Linked DNA regions of Sus scrofa. The protein of the gene in region 1 purifies or fractionates together with the protein of each later gene. This does not show direct contact. Links are inferred from orthologs where the notes say so. Each region holds a gene or a part of one and is shown on either strand. Other genes may lie near its edges. The genes, in order: YAF2, L3MBTL2, TFDP1 and BCORL1.

Region 1 (4,347 bases):
TACTGCATTACTGAGAGATTGAAGACTAGGCCTTAGATCTCTTCTCTTAATTGCTTTCCTTAATCACATTCCTCATGGTTTCTGGGTCTCTCAATCGAGGTCTGAGTCGTAAGAAGTGATGCTTGCAAAAAATACAGATGGTGCACTGAGTTCAGAAAGAGCTGTAAATTGTAAATTGATATGGTTAATTAGAAAACAGGGACTGAAAACAGAAATAGACTAACAGAGAGAAAAAAACAAACTTGTGGTTACCAAAGGGGAGAGGAAAGCAGGACAGACAAATTAGAAGTGAAGGATTAACAGACACAAAGGACTATGTCTAAAATAGATAAGCAACAAGGATAAACTGTACAGCACAGGGAATTATAGCCATTGTTATAATGTAAAGTGGAGTATAATCTGCAAAAATACTGAATCGCTATGCTGTACCTGAAACTTAATATTGTAAATCAACTATACTTCAGTTTAAAAAATAAAAAAGGAAGAGCGGCTTGCAGAAAGACTGACAGCATATCTGAGCTCTAAACCTAGCCAACTCATTTAACCTGGTCCCTATATTCCTTGTCTTTCAAATGAAGGGATAGGCTACTTGATGGGAATATTTGCACAGCACTTTGAGCCCTTTTAAAAACACGCATTGTGTAAAGAGACTTACAAAGTGCCAGCATAGAGTGCTAAAAAGTGTTAGTAGGCTTAAGAGTCCAGGAGCTTTAACCAAAGTTCTTGATCAGCGTGGTGACATAACGTTACCAGCATTTTATTATTAATCTGGTTGCGAATTACTGCTAAGATTGGGAAGGTGAGGCTGGAACTTCAGAGAGAGAGAGAGACCAGTAGGATGGCTGTTGCTAGAGTCTAGTAGAAGATGAGGGCATCCAGTACATTGCGGTAATGAAACCTGCTAGGAACGTGTTCTTAACAGGGCACACGCAAACTCGTTATTTAAAAGGAAGGGAAAAGGTCTTTTGAGTGTTTGGTTTTTTTTTTTTGCTGTTGTTGCTGTTTTCGTTTGTTTGTTTTTAAAGCAGCTACTGTAGAGGCTTGAGAGGCGAGGAGAGCTCATTTGGAATTAAAACAGTTAGATTCCTGGCTTCACCACCTCTAATTATGTAATATAGAGGAAGTCGCCTAACCTCTCTTGAACCTGGGTTTCGTTTTCTCCAAATTAAGGAGACAATCCCTACTTGGCCAGCATTTCTATGCACAAAACTAGGCAAGTGGCTTAGGGCACCTAGCAATGGCGCTGACGGGTGGCTCCCGCCTTCCCCCGGGTATCCTTAGGGCTAGAGCTGAGGAGCCAAGGACCGCTCAGGCCCGGAAAGCGGTTCCACCTGGAGACGGCGGCCGCGCACTCTGGTCCGGGGCCGGGCTGACCTCTGAACGCTGGCCCCACTTTGGACCAGGCTTCGCGCGGGAGGACGGCGCCTCCCCCGCCAGAGGGGCTCCGCGGACGCCGAGAGGGAGCGGGCGGCACCGGGCGAGAGACGGTGACGGCGCGGGAGGCTGGGATGGCCACCCCCACGCCGCCGCCCGCGAACTCGCCGGGAGTGCTGGGCCGCGCTGGCCGCGTTTGAAGTCTCCGGCGCGGCCGCTGGTTGGCTCGCGTGGGTCACGTGGCCCAGGCAGGAGTTTCCCCGACAGCTGGAGGCTGCGTGGGATCCGGCGGCGGCTCCGGAGCTCAGCGGTGCGGCCTTCCCCGCCCCCTCCCTCCTCCCCCGCCCGCTTCCGCCCGGCTTATTATCCTCCTTATTGACAAACAGAGCGGCCGCGGCGGCGACTCTCGGCGTGCGTTTGTGGCCAAGCCATGGGAGACAAGAAGAGCCCTACCAGGTAACAGCGCCCGGGCCCCCGGGCCCGGACTGTACAGGCGACGGGGCTCTCGCGGCGGGCTTCGGGCACTCGTCTCGCTCGCCGCCGGGGCAACGGGGCTAGAACGGGGGCGGCACCGCTGCTGCGCGAGCGCTGCCGCGTGAGGGGCCGGCGCCGGCCGCCCCACAATGGAGCCGCGATGGCGGAGGCCGGCGCGGCAGGCCGGGGTGTCCGAGCGGAGGCGGCGGCTGCGACCGCGCTCGCGCCCTCGCCTTCCTGACTCCCCTCCCCCTCTGAGCCCGAGGCGGGCGCGCCGGGCGCTGGCGGGGCGGGGGTCGCGGGCCTGGGGCGGGGGGCGGGGCGGGCGCGGCCGCGGGGCCCGGGCGCGGCCTGCTGGTGACCCCGCGCCGCGTCGTGTCCGGGTTGTGTCCTGCAGGCCGAAGCGGCAGCCGAAGCCGTCCTCGGATGAGGGTTACTGGGACTGTAGCGTCTGCACCTTCCGGAACAGCGCCGAGGCCTTCAAGTGCATGATGTGCGATGTGCGGAAGGGCACCTCCACCCGGTGAGTCCCGCGCCTGCCCTGCGCGCCGCCAGCCGGCGGGGTCGAGGCGCCGAGGACGCCCCTGCGGCTGCCGTCCCCTCCCGCGACACTCGCCCACCCGTCGGGCGGAGGCGAGACTGAGGTGGTGTCCGCGATAGGAACTGGGTCACGTTGATCGCGACCCTAGCGCTCGTTTGCGGTGAAGGGAAATTGAAGAGGCTGTAACGTTTCTTGCTGCCAAGAGAGAATAAATTATTAAAGAGAGGCATTAGCCACTGCGATTTAATGATTTAATTCATATCGCTGGGTGTAATGCCGCATCCCCCTTTCCCCAGCACACATTCCGGATGTAAGAACGTAGGCTGCATTGTTGTGTTAGTGTGTAGGAATCAAAGAAGCACCATGCAATCCTCTTTAGAAGCAAAAGATGTAATTTAATTTCCTTCCTCAAAAAAGTATCTGATTATAGAATACATAGTAGATTAAGCTTTTTTTTAATATAAACGTCTAGAAGGGTCAGATCAGGGTTTTGTGTAGTGTCTTTACCCCAGTTCTCTAACATTTTATAAATAGTTGAGGTGAGCCCAGTCACAGGGACACATTTTTACTGCAAGTATCTGACTTTATTTTGTTTGATTAAACGGCACTCTTATTAGACTATATGAATGAGATAAAATTAATCTTTGCGTATTTTCAGCCTTTATTTCATTGCAAGCTTACAGTATGATAACAGTCTTTAAAAAAAAACACTTAAGTGAATTAAGTGGATAAAGAAAATCATTCAGGAAATTTAAAGTCATGGGCATTCTTGATCTGCCAGCACGTAGTTACTGTGATTTATACCCTGGTATTTAGATGACATATTTTTGATTAAAGTCAATTAGAAAGTAAATTGTCACACCTATACTGATACAATAAACTGTTTTTTTTAAAGGATTATATAGTATTAATATATATTCAGTAGAAGTTAGATTTCTGAAAATGAGATATCCAGATTTTAAAACACTATTTACAGCATTTTATTAAATTTTTAAAATGTAGAGACAGAAATAGTTGTCAAAAACTTGAAATTTGTAGATTTGCTCAGTGAAGCTGGCTACTTTTGACATAACCTTTTTGTAAGTCATAATTCACTTTTGGTATATTCTCATTTACATTGGATAAAATATGTTGAGTATTTTCATGATGTCTTAAAAGGCAAACTTTCAAACATCTATTAAATTCAAGGGAATATAACAGAACATGCTAAAAGGAAAAAAATTTTGCTAAAATGAATGTGGACCCGTGATTAAACTATTTTTGAAAGCAGAGTATCTTTACATCTTTATGTCTATATAAGGTTGGATTTGGTCTAGATTATATTTGTATATCTATGTTAGTACTTTGTATTTTTTTAAATGCTCAATAAGCAATTTTCAGAAAATCTGGTTTTTGGAGGCAGGAAGTTTAATGTGGAGACAATTATTATAATCTTAACCTCTGGTTCAATATTGTTGCTTTTTGTTGTTCCCTCTCTATTTTCTTATAGCCATTAGAAAAATACTGAAACTAGAAGAGCTTATATGTTTATTTGCAGGGACAGCAAGGAAGGGGGGAAGCTGGTGTCCTACTCCACAGCCAGTCTTGGGGTTAGAGGAACCCTGAGAAATAGAGTAGGTGGTGGCAGCTCAGAAGAGAAGAAACAGGCCGAATACCTGGCACCTGGAAGAAGAAGGAATATAGTGCACAGGGGAGTTGGCCCAGGACAGAGAAGTGGGCCTAGTTTAAAAGAGGCTTGAGGCCCACATGGGGGCCCCTGACATTTTTTACCAGTACATCTGAGCTCTTATAGATCCAATTTTTAGTGGTGGAAACATTACTTGAGGAGGACTCAGAGAAGCATTGTCATTTGGATTGAAACTGAAGAGGCTCTGGGCAACTCACCAGAAGTCTAAGGGACACTCTGTTCCTAAAAGTAAGTGTTCGACACTACGACCCTCTCAGCTTCTTCCTTCCTC
Region 2 (4,239 bases), about 66 Mb from region 1:
GGCTGCATCATGCTCATGGCATGTGAAAGTTCCTGAGCTAGGGATCAAAGCCACGCCACAGCAGTGACCTGAGCCACAGCTGTGACAACACCAGATCCTTAGCTTGCTAGGGAGCTAAGTCAAGCAGAATTCTTTTCTTTTCTTTTTTTTTTTTGGTTTTTTGTCTTTTTAGGGCCACACCCACAGCCTATGGAGGTTCCCAGGCTAGGGGTCTCATCAGAACTGTAGCCGCAGGCCTACGCCACAGCCACAGCAATGCCAGATCTGAGCTGTGTCTTTGACCTACACCACAGCTCACGGCAACACCAGATCCTTAACCCACTGAGTGAGGCCACGGATCGAACCCACAGCCTCAAGGTTCCTAGTCAGATTCGTTAACCACTGAGGCACAAAGGGAACTCCAAGAATTCTTAACTCCAAACTCATTCATTCCTTGTACAGTTTCTAACCACTACAGAATATGGTCCCACTGTCTACCTATCCAGAGTAGACAGGCACCTTTACCCAGAGTCACTCTGGATTCCTCCCTCTTCCAAACCTACTCCAAACAATTAATTACTGCCTCCAATATATTTCTCAAATTCTTCTACTTTTTTGCCAGCCTTCTAAGTCTGGCCTGATTCAAGCCACCATCATCCTTCCCCTGGATCAGTACAAGTGCCTTCTAACTTGTCTCCTTGCTGCTTCTCTCTCTCTCTCTCTCTGTTTTTGGCCTCACCGGTGGCATGAAGAAGTTCCTGGGCCAGAGATCAGACAAGCACTACAGCAGCAACCAGAGCCCAGCAGAAATAACTGCTGTATACTTAACTCCTTTCTTTCTCTTTCTCTCTTTCTTTTTCTTTCCTTCCTTCTTTTCTTTTTTCTTTTCAGGGCCCCAGGTGGGGCATATGGAAGTTCCCAGGCTAGGGGTCAAATCGGAGCTATAGCTGCTGGGCCAAGCCATCCCAGATCCAAGCCACGTCTGTGACCTACACCACAGCTCACAGCGACGCAGGATCCTTAAACCACTGAGCCAGGCCAGGGATAGAACCTGCATCGTCACTGATGCTAGTTGGGTTCCTAACCAGCTGAGCTACAACAGGAACTCTAAGCACCCTAAATTTCTAATCAGGGAGAGTGCGAAATTATTCCCAGCTCCTGAACAGTGCGTATCTTAGGTAGTCAATGATGTTTAATGAAGAATGGGGTCAGAATGATGTAAACAGCTCTACGTGGATAAAGGGTAACAGTCCCCGCAAGCCGCAGCAGGGCTAAGGCGGGGGGCTTTCCCCTTCGTTGTGGCAACGCCCGCTTCAGCACGCACCCACTAGGGAACTACAAGTCCCACAAGCGCCCGCTGCTTCCCCACCTCCAAGAGAGGCGGGCCGGGGGCTAGCGCGGAACCGGCTTTTCCTCTTTCCCGCAGCCTGATTGGCCCGAGGCTCTGAGAGGCGGCCAATGAGTGCGCTCGGGAAGAGCGGCCAGGCCAATATGGCTTCCTGCACCTGGTGACGGTCGAAGAAAGGGTGTTAGGTCTCATGGAGAAGCCCCGGGGCGTCGAGGTGAGAGGGAGCGGACGTCTCGTGCCTGGGGAAGGGAACCCCGGGAGCCTCACTCGGTGGACCCTTCCTCAGGCCTTTGAGCGACGCCTGGAGGGTGGAGGGCGGGAGGATGGATACACAGGTAGTGAGGCTGAGCGGGCCGGAGGCGATTGGCCGTGCTTTTTGCTCGCGCGCCGCTGGAGCCGAGGAGTTGAGGGAGGAGCAGCCCCTCTGGCCTAGGGGAAGGGGAGTGGGGTTCAGGATCTGAGCGCTCCAGCATCGTCTTCCTCCTCCTTGTCTCGTGGCGGTGGTCTTTCGTGATCGTGAGGGAGGCCTGTCACATTCCGATGGGAAGTAAAGGAAGATTAAAGTTTCATGAACAGTCCGTTTATTAAAGTTTAATAAACAGTCCGTGCCTGGAGCGTTCACGTGCATTATCTCTCCGATACTCAGCAGTCCTATGTTATTGTCTGGTTTGCATGGTTCGAGTGGCTGAGGCTTAGAGAGGTGATGAGCCTTCCCAGGAGAGTCACAGGGCTGTAAAGTGTAGATAGTCACTAAGTCTGCCAAGTTCCAAAACTCGACCTGTCTTATCTTTTCCACTGTACCACAACCTGTAACCCACTCATCCAGTAATCATTTGGCTCCTGGTCACCTTACATTTGAATTTGGTGACCTTTCTAGCATATTTGCATATGTAGGTTTGTTTTTGTTTTGTTTTTGTTTGTTTGTTGCTTTTGAGGGCTGAACCCACGACATATGGCCGTTTCCAGGCTAGGGGTTGAATCGGAGCTACAGCCGCCAGCCTATGCCACAGCCACAGCCACAGCAACGCCAAATCCGAGCTGAATCTGGGGCCTACACCACAACTCACCACAACGCCAGATCCTTAACCCTCTGAGGGAGGCCAGGGATCGAACCCACAACCTCATGGTTCCTGGTCGGATTGGTTTCCGCTGCGCCAGGAGGGGAACTCCTGTAGTTTTAAATATAAAGTGGAAGAGCTCAAAAACAATACAAGGGTCAAGGAGAATAACCATAAAGTGGAGAATAAAAGTTATAACTCAGTTTTGAACTTTCAGTAACTGCTGGAAACAGCTAGACTTGAGGCATCTTAGCAGTGTTCACAGCAGTCCTCTATAGAAGGTGTTGTTATTATATCCTTGGTACTGATGGAGAAACTAAGAGCAGTAGGTTAAATATCTTAACACAGAATCCCACAGGTGATAATAAGTGGGAGAACTTGGATTCAAACTCAGGCAAATCTGGTTTGAGAACCCATGCTTTTAACCAGTAATGACTGCCAACATTTATTGAGCACTTGCTGTGGGCAAGTCAATTTTCTGAGTGTCTTACCTATATTAACCCTTACTTCTCCCCCAAAGTCTGTGAAATAGGTGGAACTGCCCTCATTTACAGATGAGGAAGTCGAGGCACTGAGTTGGATCTGCTTCAGGCCATACAGCTAGAAAGCAGTAAGGATGGTATTGGATCCCTGGCCTAGAGCCCAAACTCCTCACACCTTTTCGACTACATGGCAGGTAGATTTATATATACATTATCTCATTTACATTCCTGTGAGCCAAATATTTTTCTTATTTTATAGATGAGAAAATTGAGGTGTCCCCACTGTGGCAAAGTGGATTAAGAATCTGACTGCAGGGAGTTCCCGTCGTGGCTCAGTGGTTAATGAATCCGACTAGGAACCATGAGGTTGCGGGTTCCATCCCTGGCCTTGCTTGTGGGTTAAGGATCTGGCGTTGCCCTGAGCTGTGGTGTAGGTTGCAGACACGTCTCGGATCCCGAGTTGCTGTGGCTCTGGTCTAGGCTGGCAGCTACAGCTCTGATTAGACCCCCAGCCTGGAACCTCCATATGCCGCAGGAGCGGCCCTAGAAAAGACAAAAAAAAAAAAAAAAAAAAAGAATCTGACTGCAGCAGCTCAGGTTGTTGCAGAGGCTCGGGTTTAACGCCTGGCCCAGCGCAGTGGGTTAAAGGGTCTGGTGTTGCCACAGCTTGCAGCATTAAGTCACAGCTGCGGCTCAGATTCAATTCTTGATCCTGGAAACTTCCATATGCCACAGGTATGGCCATTAAAAAAAAAAAAGGAGTTGCCGTCGGGGCTCAGTGCCAATGAACCATGAGGACGCAGGTTTGATCCCTGTCCTCACTCAGTGGGTTAAGGATCTGGCATTGCCATGAGCTGTAGGTCGAAGATGTGGCTCAGATCCTGCGTTGCTGTGGCTGTGGTGTGGGCCAGTAGCTACAGCTCCAATTCAACCCCTAGGCTGGGAACCTCCATATGCCCCAGGAGCGGCCCTAAAAAAAAAAAAAAAAAAAAAAAAAATTGAGAGACCCAGAGAGGTGAAATGACTTGCCTGAGAATAGTTAGGATCAGAGTTGAGTCCAAAGCTGTGGTATATACCACTATATTATAGCTAGTCTGTCATTTGCCTCCCAAATCCTCTTTAGGGCAGTCTGGATCCCAAATTAACTTTTCTCTGACTTAAATTGTTTGTTTTTTGGGGCCGTGCCCACGGCTTACAGCCGTTCCCAGGCTAGCGATTGGAACCTTGTGCTATAGCAGTGACACAGCTGCTGCAGTGACAGCACCGATCCGTAAACTGCTGTACCACAAGGGAAATCCTGACTTAAACTGTTTTTGAGTTGAAATTATTTTGCTGAAGGGGGAAGGATGAGTTTCTAAAATACATCTTTCCC
Region 3 (4,077 bases), on another chromosome or scaffold:
GGGTCTTCTCGGGGAACTGACCACCAGCAGGACGGCCCTCAATCGCCACCCTCCCCGGGCCTCTGCAGGCTGGCTGCCCCCATCAGTCCCCGAGTTTGTCCGCCTCCACTGGGACCCCCCGCCTCCCCCGAACCTAACGCCAGCCTCCCTGGGCCCAATGGCCCAGCTGGGGTCCCAGCCCACCCGCTTCAGCCAGAGGCTGTGCGAGGTGCTTGCAGGCTTTGACCTTACCCCCAAGGGCAGAGTGAGCCTCCTATGCCTGCCCCCTACCCCCCGACAATGGTCAGCTTCCCAGATTCCAATGTCACACCTGACCTAAGACCCAGCGCAGGGGGAGACGGGGCTGAGCCTGAGCGGCCCGCAGCCTCTGTCCCGCCAAGCACAGCCCTGGAGAGACCCGGTTCCAGCACACCTGCCGACCCCAACCCAGGACAGGCAAAGCCACTGCTTCTTACCTGGCTGTTCTCACCGCGACACCAACCTCCACTGTGTCACGTACCCAAGCTCAACGGGTGGTCCCCATCACCCCCACCCAGCCACCAGGTGGCCCACAGCGACCCAGCCTTCGCTGGGCTGACCTCCAGGAGTGACCTTCGGAGGAGGCCGCTCAGGAGTCTCCTGGAACCAGGCACGGGCCTGGACTGTCTTCCCATCCCCCGGATGCCCAGGGGGAGGGAGAGGACGCCTCCTCCAGGGGGTTCAGACAGGACGAGAGGCAAACTCAGCTCCCCACCTCCACCCACGATGGGAGGCATGGGGGCAGCTGCACCCCTGCTGAGCACCAGCTCCCGTCCTGCGTCTTCCGGGCGACAGTGGCAGAGAACTGGGCCTGGCCACTGACGATTAGAAGGTAACACCACCTGCACATCACACACAGACTCTGGTTTTAAGCTCAAACCCACCACACTAGCCCCGTGTTCACCCGCTCTGCCAAACTAACTGGCGCGGGGGCCCACAGCCTAAGGCCCAGCGGGTGGGGTGCCTTCCGACAGGCGCCCTGCAGAAGGTTCAAACCCGCGAGGTGACGGAGGCATCATGCCCGTTTCCTGGCGCCACCAACAGGGACGTGCTTTACCCTCCGGCTGTGTCTCAGGCAGATGCACGTCCTCAGAGCTGCATTTCCACCTCCACGCAACACACGAGTAAATAAATAAACTGCCTCTTTTCATTAATGTTTACGGAACAGCACGTCCTGAGACACGCTAAAGGAGGAGCCGGGGTTTCAGTGAATTTCACGGATGTCACCCAGGATCGAAAGAGCTGCCCAAATGATAAAAGCCGAAATCTTGGGGCCGAAAAGCCTACTTCTTAAAACAAGAGAAAAAAACTAACTCATCAAATTCTATAGCTCCCCGACAAATATAAAGCTAAAGTAGAATTTTTGCACCCCACTTCACTAGGCACCAAGTGCCACTTTTTCTGAGAAAAAAGGCTGCCAAACCCAGTGCTTAGCCTGTTACGGCTCAAAGCTGAAGTAACATCCTACACGGTACCTGCAGAGGATGCTCAGCGCCATTCCACCGAGTCCAGCGCCTGCCCAGGGTCCCCCACCAAGGCACTCAGATTTCCAAGTTAACCAGTCAGAAGAGACCCACAGATCGGGTCAGTCAAGCCCCATCGGGCATTGGCCCCCCTGGGGGCTCAGGCCTGCAAAGTACCCTCCATAAAGGCCACCGGGGCTCCTCTGGGTTCCTCACCTTTAGCGTGTTTCATGTGCTTTAAGAGTCTGAACATAAACGCTCCTGAATGTTGTGTGCTGTCATTCTGAAACAAAATCGGGAAACTACCAAGAATGTATCAGTAGGCAAACATGCGTCCAGCAGGAAGCAAACATACTTACATCTTTTGCCATGTTACCAGATCCGTGAAATCGATGCTATAGTTGTTCACCCTCCAGAGAAGAAAAATGACTTTTCTGGTAAAAAGAAGAAAGGAAAAGCAAGGAGTGAATAAGGATGAAATAAGAAGTTCACAAACCTCAGCGTTTCCCCCCAGCACCACCACCATCCCCACCGCGGCTCAGGGGAGCGGCGCCTTCCTCTCCATGCCCACACTCCACCCTCGGAGCGGGGCCGCAGAAACAGCCCCCACGCTGGGGATTTTAAAGTCATCTCAGGAATGGAAGCTCGTCCGCCACCAGAATGCCCGCCGGCCTCCCCAGACGCGCACAAAGAGCCAGCAGCGAGGCCGAGCCCGCACTGGCGGCCCGCGTTCCCACCCGGCGCAGCCCCAGTCTCTGCGCACACGCGCTCCCCACGGGCGCCCCGGCCCACCCGCGACCACCAGCCGACCCGTAACTCTGACAGGTGGGCTTCCGGGGTCCCGGCCTCCAGCCTGTCACTAGGCCGCGGCGGCCTCCCGCGAGCGCCCCCCACGCCCCGGAACCGGCAGTCGGCGGGCAGGTGGGGTCGGCGCCGCCGGGCCCCCGCACCCCGCACCCCGGACCCCGTGCGCTCGGACTCGGCCCGCCCCAACCCCCGCCGGGCGCAGACGCCGATGCGCGCGCTGCTCCGCCCGGAGGCCCCTGCAGGCCCCGACGGGGACCCTGGCCCGCGACCCCGCCGGGCCGGTCACCTGGGCGCCCACGCGGCGGCCCTGGCGCGCGGGGACCGGTCGGCGCACGCGGCGCGCGGGGGCGGGGGTCGGTCGGGGTCCGCAGGCGCCCGGCGCGTGCGCCCCTCCGGGACCCCGGCCCGCCGCACCTGGCGGGCGGGAGGTCGGCGCGCGGACAGCGGCGCGCACACGCGGGCGGGCGCGGAAGAGCGGGCGGTCCCGGCGGCGCTCGGCCGGGGTCCCTGCCCTGCCGAGGCGCCGGGGCGCGGGGCTCACCCTGCGAGCGTCGGGCGGCGTGACGTGCGCGGCGCGGTGACGTGGGCGGCGGCCCGGCTCCCGCAGCGCGCCTGCGCGCCTTTTCGCGCCTTCGGCTCCCTCCTCCTCCTCCTCCTCCTCCTCCTCCTCCTCCTCCTCCCGCTCCGCGGCCCGCGCTCGCGCTCCGGGGGGCTGGGCTGCGCCTGCGCGCGTCCGCATGTGCGCGCGTGTGTGTGCGCGCGCCGAGCAAAGATGGAGAGGAGGTCCCAGCCCCCGGGGCGCGGTGTTGCGCACGCGGGGGAGCTGGGCCGGGGATATGCGCACGTGTGCGCACGCGGCGGACAGGGACTAGGGGTGCACGTGCGTATATAAGCACCTGGGGAGGGGGACAGAAGCTGAGGAGGTGTGCACCTGTGCATGTACACGGGTGTGTGTGCATCCGGGGAATGGGGGGTAGGAGTGTGTATACACGTGTGGGCACATGAGGAACAGGGGCAAAGTGTGCAGGTGAGTGTGTATGCACAGAGGTCTGGAGCCAGTGTGCAAGTGTGTGTATGTGCGCGCGCGTACCCAGGGGCTAGAGATGCATTCATGGGTGTGCACACGGAGAATGGGTTGAGTGTGTGCGTATGCACGTACAGAAGTGCGCACATGGGGGGGCGAGTGTGTGCACAGTGTGTATACGTATTCGAGAATAAGAGAGGTTGGGTGCCCATGGGCGTGTAGGGGCGGGTGCATGTGTAGGTGCGCAAGGAGAGGAGGCCAGGCGTGTGCGTGTGTAGTTGCACCGAGGCGAGGGCCGTGTGCACCCACAGCGCAGAGAGCCCTGTCCACCTGCTGCTCCTGTTCTGAGCTGCCAGCGGCCTCCGTGCCCACGCCCAGCCTCCAGCCAGCCTCAGAGCATTCTCAGTGCAGGAGAGTTGGCTCCTCATCACTGGGTGGGCTGGACCTAGTGGACGCTGAGCCTCGGAGACTCGTCCCCTCTGGGCGCCCCCGCAAGCACCAAGGCCCCAGAGGGCATGGGCTCTGGTTCCAGAGACGCTGCGGAGGTCGGGAGGGGCCTGGGAGTCAAGTCCGAAGTTCATGAGCACAGAGCAAAGGCCTCTCATCTTGCAGGTTTCCACCCGGCCGCGGACGGTTTCCCAATTTAACCGCTTTTATGCTGATCACGCCCACTCTGCTTCTCCAGTAAAGCCCCTCCCGGCCTAAGACTGTTCACACCTTAGCGCTGGTTTCTTGAAGGGAGCAGAGATATTCGCGTTCTTTCTC
Region 4 (4,050 bases), on another chromosome or scaffold:
GATTTTTTTTCAAATTCCTGCTATTCATTGCACATTCCATTTACAAAGCCCTGAACCCTCCAGGAACTGCTGGCCACCTCCCCTAGTACTCTCTAGGCTGAGGAGATGCCTTTGAAGTCCCCACCACGGACTCAGGGTTGGAGCTGCTAAGAAACACCCTTAGACTGAAAGCAAGTCTGCCGGCAGCTTCAGCTCCATCGCAAGCTGCTCTCTTCCTCCGAGTTAATGTAAAGTCATCAGAGTTCCAATGTGGACCGCAGGCTTCTCAGCCCTTCAGTCCTGGGGATAGCCTGGGATGTAAACACAAACGAGGATTTATTTCTTTGGCCAGGCAAGGAGTCGTTAGGGTAAAGGGTAGGGGTCAAGGGGTTCAGTCTGATGACTGAGGAGCCCCGGGAAAGCGGGCAGAAGCCCAGCCCTCTTCGAGCCAGGTTTTCGGCCCAAGTCGTGCAGGCTTCCCCCTTTACAGACCTTTCGTCCCCCTCCTCCTTCCTCCCTCGGGCCTCTCGCTCCTGCCCACCCCACCCCCCCGCGCGCCCCCGATGCCTCCACGCCCAGGCCGAGGGCTGCCCTTTGGAGGTCTGCCCGGTGTGTGTGTGGGGGGGTGTTGCAGCCCGGGAGGCTGCCACGAAGGGTGGGCCGCCCCGGAGACGCGAGGCGAGGCAGCGAGCCCCGGCATTTTCCCTTCCCCAGCACCTGTCCCACTTCGGCGCCGGGGCCGGGGCTGCACCCGCGGGCGGCCTCAGTGCCAGAGCGCCGGAGCCACGCACCGAGGTCGCCCGGGTTAGGGAAGTGGGGGACCGGGGGAGGGGCGGGGCGTCCGGCGGGGGCGCCCCCCCGCAAGCAAGACCCTACCCCCCAATACACTGAGGCTAAACCGAGAGAGAGAGAGAGACAGAGAGAGAGAGAGAGAGAGAGAGAGAGAGAGAGAGTCACATAAAGCTCGAGCGAAAACGTTCGCTCTCCGACCCCGTGCGGCGTTGCTCGCCCCCCCTCCTTCCTGGAGCCAGGGGCTGGCCGAAGAAGGTGGCTCCGTTCTTCCCCCGTGGCCAGTGCGGGGTCTGCGGCTGCCCGGCGAGGTTCCGGCTTCCCCGGGGCTGGCAGGGGGAGCCCCGAGAACTGCAGGCCCGCCCCCCCTTCCTCCTCCTCCTTCCCCTCCTCCCCCACGTGTCCTCCCGGAGCCCAGCGGCCTGATCCCAGCACCCCCCCCACCCACCCCGCCACCTCCCTCCTCCTCCCGCTTCGCCAGCTTCCCCGGCAGCGTGGAGAAGAGCAAAGTTGCGACAGGGGCCAAGGGGCTATGCCCAGGTGAAGGGGGCGCCGTGGGGGGGGGCGCGGCCCTGTGGCGGGGGCGGAGGGAAGATAAAGAAACTTGTTTTCCGCGGCCCCCACCCCGCGCGGGTTCGGGTCTTGCGTGGACCGAGCCCTCGTGGCGAGACGCGGCAACGCCGCCGGGACCGAGGCCGGCACCGGGATCCGGACCCGGACCGAACGCCTGAGTCGGCTCGGCGGGCGCAGGCAGCGGGCCAGGCCGGCACCCAGGCAAGGGCGGGGTGGGTGGCCGTACACCGGACCGAACCGGGGACTCCGGTGGCCTGGGCGCTGGCCGAACCCGGACCGGGCCGAGTTGGGTGGCGAAGTAGGACGTGGATTCGGGGGCGGGGCGCGGCGGGAGGGGGAAACCAGGCCCGGCCGGAGTGGCCTGGGCGTGGGGGCGGGGGGCGAGTTCGGGGCACTTGCTGGGCTCGGGACCGAGCGGTAGGGCGGGGCGGCGCTAGGGGCTGGGCCGGACCCGCGGGGAGAGGGCGAGGGGAGGGGGAGCCGGGGGTGGAGTAGGGGCGTGGAGTTGCGAGCGGGGTCTGGCCTCGGCCGGGGGCGAAGGTAGATCGGCGGGGCCGCCAGCGGAGGGAGGGAGGCCCGCGGCAGCGCGGCGGCGGCGAAGGCCAGCTTCCGCGGAGTTTGTGCCCGGGCTTCCCGGGCTCCGGCCGCCTCACGCGCACAAATGGGTCTAGGGGATTGACTGGTAAGCAACTACGAGTGTTAGACGGTGTTCGGCGGCGATTCCGGGAAAAGCGAGGAGAGACACTGTCTGCAATTATGCCGCACCCCCCCACCCACCTCTTTAGCATCTGGATTCTGCTCTCAGGGGGCCGCGGACCCTCCCTGCCACAACCCTTTCACTCTCCAGCACTCCCACCGACTCCCCCCACCTCCTCGGCCATCTGACTCTTCTAGGGGTGTGTGTTTGGGGGTGGACGACGGCGGGGGGGGTATACTTTTTCTCTCGCGGCGGCAGCCTAGTTCGTATCTTATTCCTACATGTAGCGTCGCTACGAGTCGCGTGGACATTGGGGTTTGGATAATCTACCCCCAACTAACTCCCCCCTCCAAGCGATTTGATGGCTTTTAAGGAAAGAGACGAATCCCTGGATTTCCACGCCTGGGATGAGGTTTAAGGATTGGGATTCATCCCCAGCTCACTTCAATTACCAACCCCTCTTTTCTTGTGAGCCATTTCCACGGGGATCCGAACTTGAAGGGGGGGAACGGGAGTATTAATGTTCTTCTCTATCTCTACACAGGGTCGGTGTGGCCAAGGACGGCTAGTCTCGGAGGGAAAGTAGCCACCAGTCCAACTCCGGTCACCCCCACTATTACTTCAGTGAGGGGGCAACGCCAAGAAGGGGATTTTGGTGGGTAAGGGCCCAGTATACGGGAGGGGGCTGGGTAGTCTCCCCCGATGGACTCCCTTTCTTGGCGGGGAGCGAGACGCGAGCCCCGGCTTCAAGGGAGGGGTTCCGGGGAGGGAGGTGGGGGGGTGGCGACGGGGGGGCGGGAAGAAGGGGGGAGTCACGCCCTGCCAGCAAGGGGAGCCTCCCTCAGGCCCCTGGGAGAAGGGGACTGAATGCGTCTGCTCTGTGCTGCGGGGCAGGAGAGATCTGGGATCTCTGGATTTGCACACTGGATCCAGCACCGGTGGCCTGAGAAAGTCAGGTCGGGGCATAAGGTGGAAAGCGTTGGAAGAAAGAGAAACCCCTGGCCGTGGGGCACTGATCTTTTCCCTTCCTCAACCTCCCCCTTCGTGGGGCGTACGGGGGGGGCGTGGGGTTCCTGCAGCCCCTCGGATTGAGCGCCTCCGCCTCTCCTGGGAGTCTAGCTTTTTGCCCGGCTTGCTGCAGCCACTGCTGCCTCCCTCTCCGGAATCCGCTCGGTCCTCGCAGCGATCCCCTCCTCCTCCCCTCCCCTCCCAGTGTCACCGGGGCTGCTTGGCTCTGCCCCCTTCGCCGCCGCTTGCTCCCTGCTTTCGTCCCTCCCTCTCTTGCTCGCTCCCTCCCTTCGCCTCCTCCTCCCCATTCCTCCCCCCCCCGCACAGGCGGCATTCTGGGAGCTGTAGTCCCGCGGAGCGGGGGCTGGCGCCGCCCGCGAACCCGATCGGACTCCACTTCCCGGCGAGCCCTGCGACCGGCACCCACTCCACCAGGCTTCGCTCGCACACACAGACACACACACACACCGCTCTCCCCCTCACTCTTTCGCTCGCCGCGGCTGCTGCCAGTGTGTGGCTCTGTCTCTCCTCCGCTTTGCTGAGCCCTCCCTTCTTCCTCTCAGTTCCTAGAGTCCGACCGCCGCCGCCGCCGAAAGAGAGGAGAAGGAGGTCGGTGGCGATAAGGGGCGGAGGGGGCATCAGATCGGGGTAGTATTAGGCGGGTGGTGGCTCCGAGGGGGTAAGAGGGAGTCCGGGTGGCGGCCTGAGCCTCCCCGCGGAGCCGACTCGGGAACAGGTGCGTCTTTTTTTTCTCTCCCCCAACCCCTCCACCCCTTTTGAGTCCCCGGCTTTCTCGTATCCCCCACCCGCTTCTTTCTACCTTCAGCCTTTCCCCAACCCTGTCCCTTCTTCGCCCCCCGGCCGCTCTGCTTGCCCCCCGGGGGCGCCGTCCTCTCCGTGTCCCCGGACGTAGCGCTCCCTGGAGCTCGCTCTGTCCTCGCCCCTCCCTTCGGGACAGCTCCCCTCCACTTCCCACCTTCGTACCCCATCCTTGCCCTACCCTA

What was found.
Region 2: the proteins of YAF2 (region 1) and L3MBTL2 purify together in Homo sapiens (affinity purification with mass spectrometry; 5 studies listed by BioGRID and IntAct, counting the BioPlex papers as one, with this or other methods). This does not show direct contact. The link is inferred for Sus scrofa from reciprocal best matches to the Homo sapiens genes YAF2 and L3MBTL2.
Region 3: the proteins of YAF2 (region 1) and TFDP1 purify together in Homo sapiens (affinity purification with mass spectrometry; 3 studies listed by BioGRID and IntAct, counting the BioPlex papers as one, with this or other methods). This does not show direct contact. The link is inferred for Sus scrofa from reciprocal best matches to the Homo sapiens genes YAF2 and TFDP1.
Region 4: the proteins of YAF2 (region 1) and BCORL1 purify together in Homo sapiens (affinity purification with mass spectrometry; 5 studies listed by BioGRID and IntAct, counting the BioPlex papers as one, with this or other methods). This does not show direct contact. The link is inferred for Sus scrofa from reciprocal best matches to the Homo sapiens genes YAF2 and BCORL1.

Annotation. Positions count from the first base shown.
Region 1 is NC_010447.5:73,494,544-73,498,890, reverse strand, and holds the start of YAF2 (YY1-associated factor 2), read left to right. Parts: upstream 1-1,543; 5' UTR 1,544-1,804; coding exon 1,805-1,830; intron 1,831-2,245; coding exon 2,246-2,371; intron 2,372-3,926; coding exon of another isoform or gene 3,927-4,128; exon of another isoform or gene 4,129-4,309; intron 4,310-4,347. UniProt on the Homo sapiens protein: Binds to MYC and inhibits MYC-mediated transactivation. Also binds to MYCN and enhances MYCN-dependent transcriptional activation. Increases calpain 2-mediated proteolysis of YY1 in vitro.
Region 2 is NC_010447.5:7,274,790-7,279,028, reverse strand, and holds the start of L3MBTL2 (lethal(3)malignant brain tumor-like protein 2), read left to right. Parts: upstream 1-1,395; 5' UTR 1,396-1,517; coding exon 1,518-1,541; intron 1,542-4,239. UniProt on the Homo sapiens protein: Putative Polycomb group (PcG) protein. PcG proteins maintain the transcriptionally repressive state of genes, probably via a modification of chromatin, rendering it heritably changed in its expressibility.
Region 3 is NC_010453.5:78,754,283-78,758,359, reverse strand, and holds the start of TFDP1 (transcription factor Dp-1), read right to left. Parts: upstream 2,839-4,077; 5' UTR 2,703-2,838; intron 1,916-2,702; 5' UTR 1,853-1,915; coding exon of another isoform or gene 1,841-1,852; 5' UTR 1-1,840. UniProt on the Homo sapiens protein: Can stimulate E2F-dependent transcription.
Region 4 is NC_010461.5:106,546,557-106,550,606, forward strand, and holds the start of BCORL1 (BCL-6 corepressor-like protein 1), read left to right. Parts: upstream 1-1,201; 5' UTR 1,202-1,308; intron 1,309-1,872; exon of another isoform or gene 1,873-2,023; intron 2,024-2,051; exon of another isoform or gene 2,052-2,237; intron 2,238-2,582; 5' UTR 2,583-2,693; intron 2,694-2,932; exon of another isoform or gene 2,933-3,655; intron 3,656-4,050. UniProt on the Homo sapiens protein: Transcriptional corepressor. May specifically inhibit gene expression when recruited to promoter regions by sequence-specific DNA-binding proteins such as BCL6.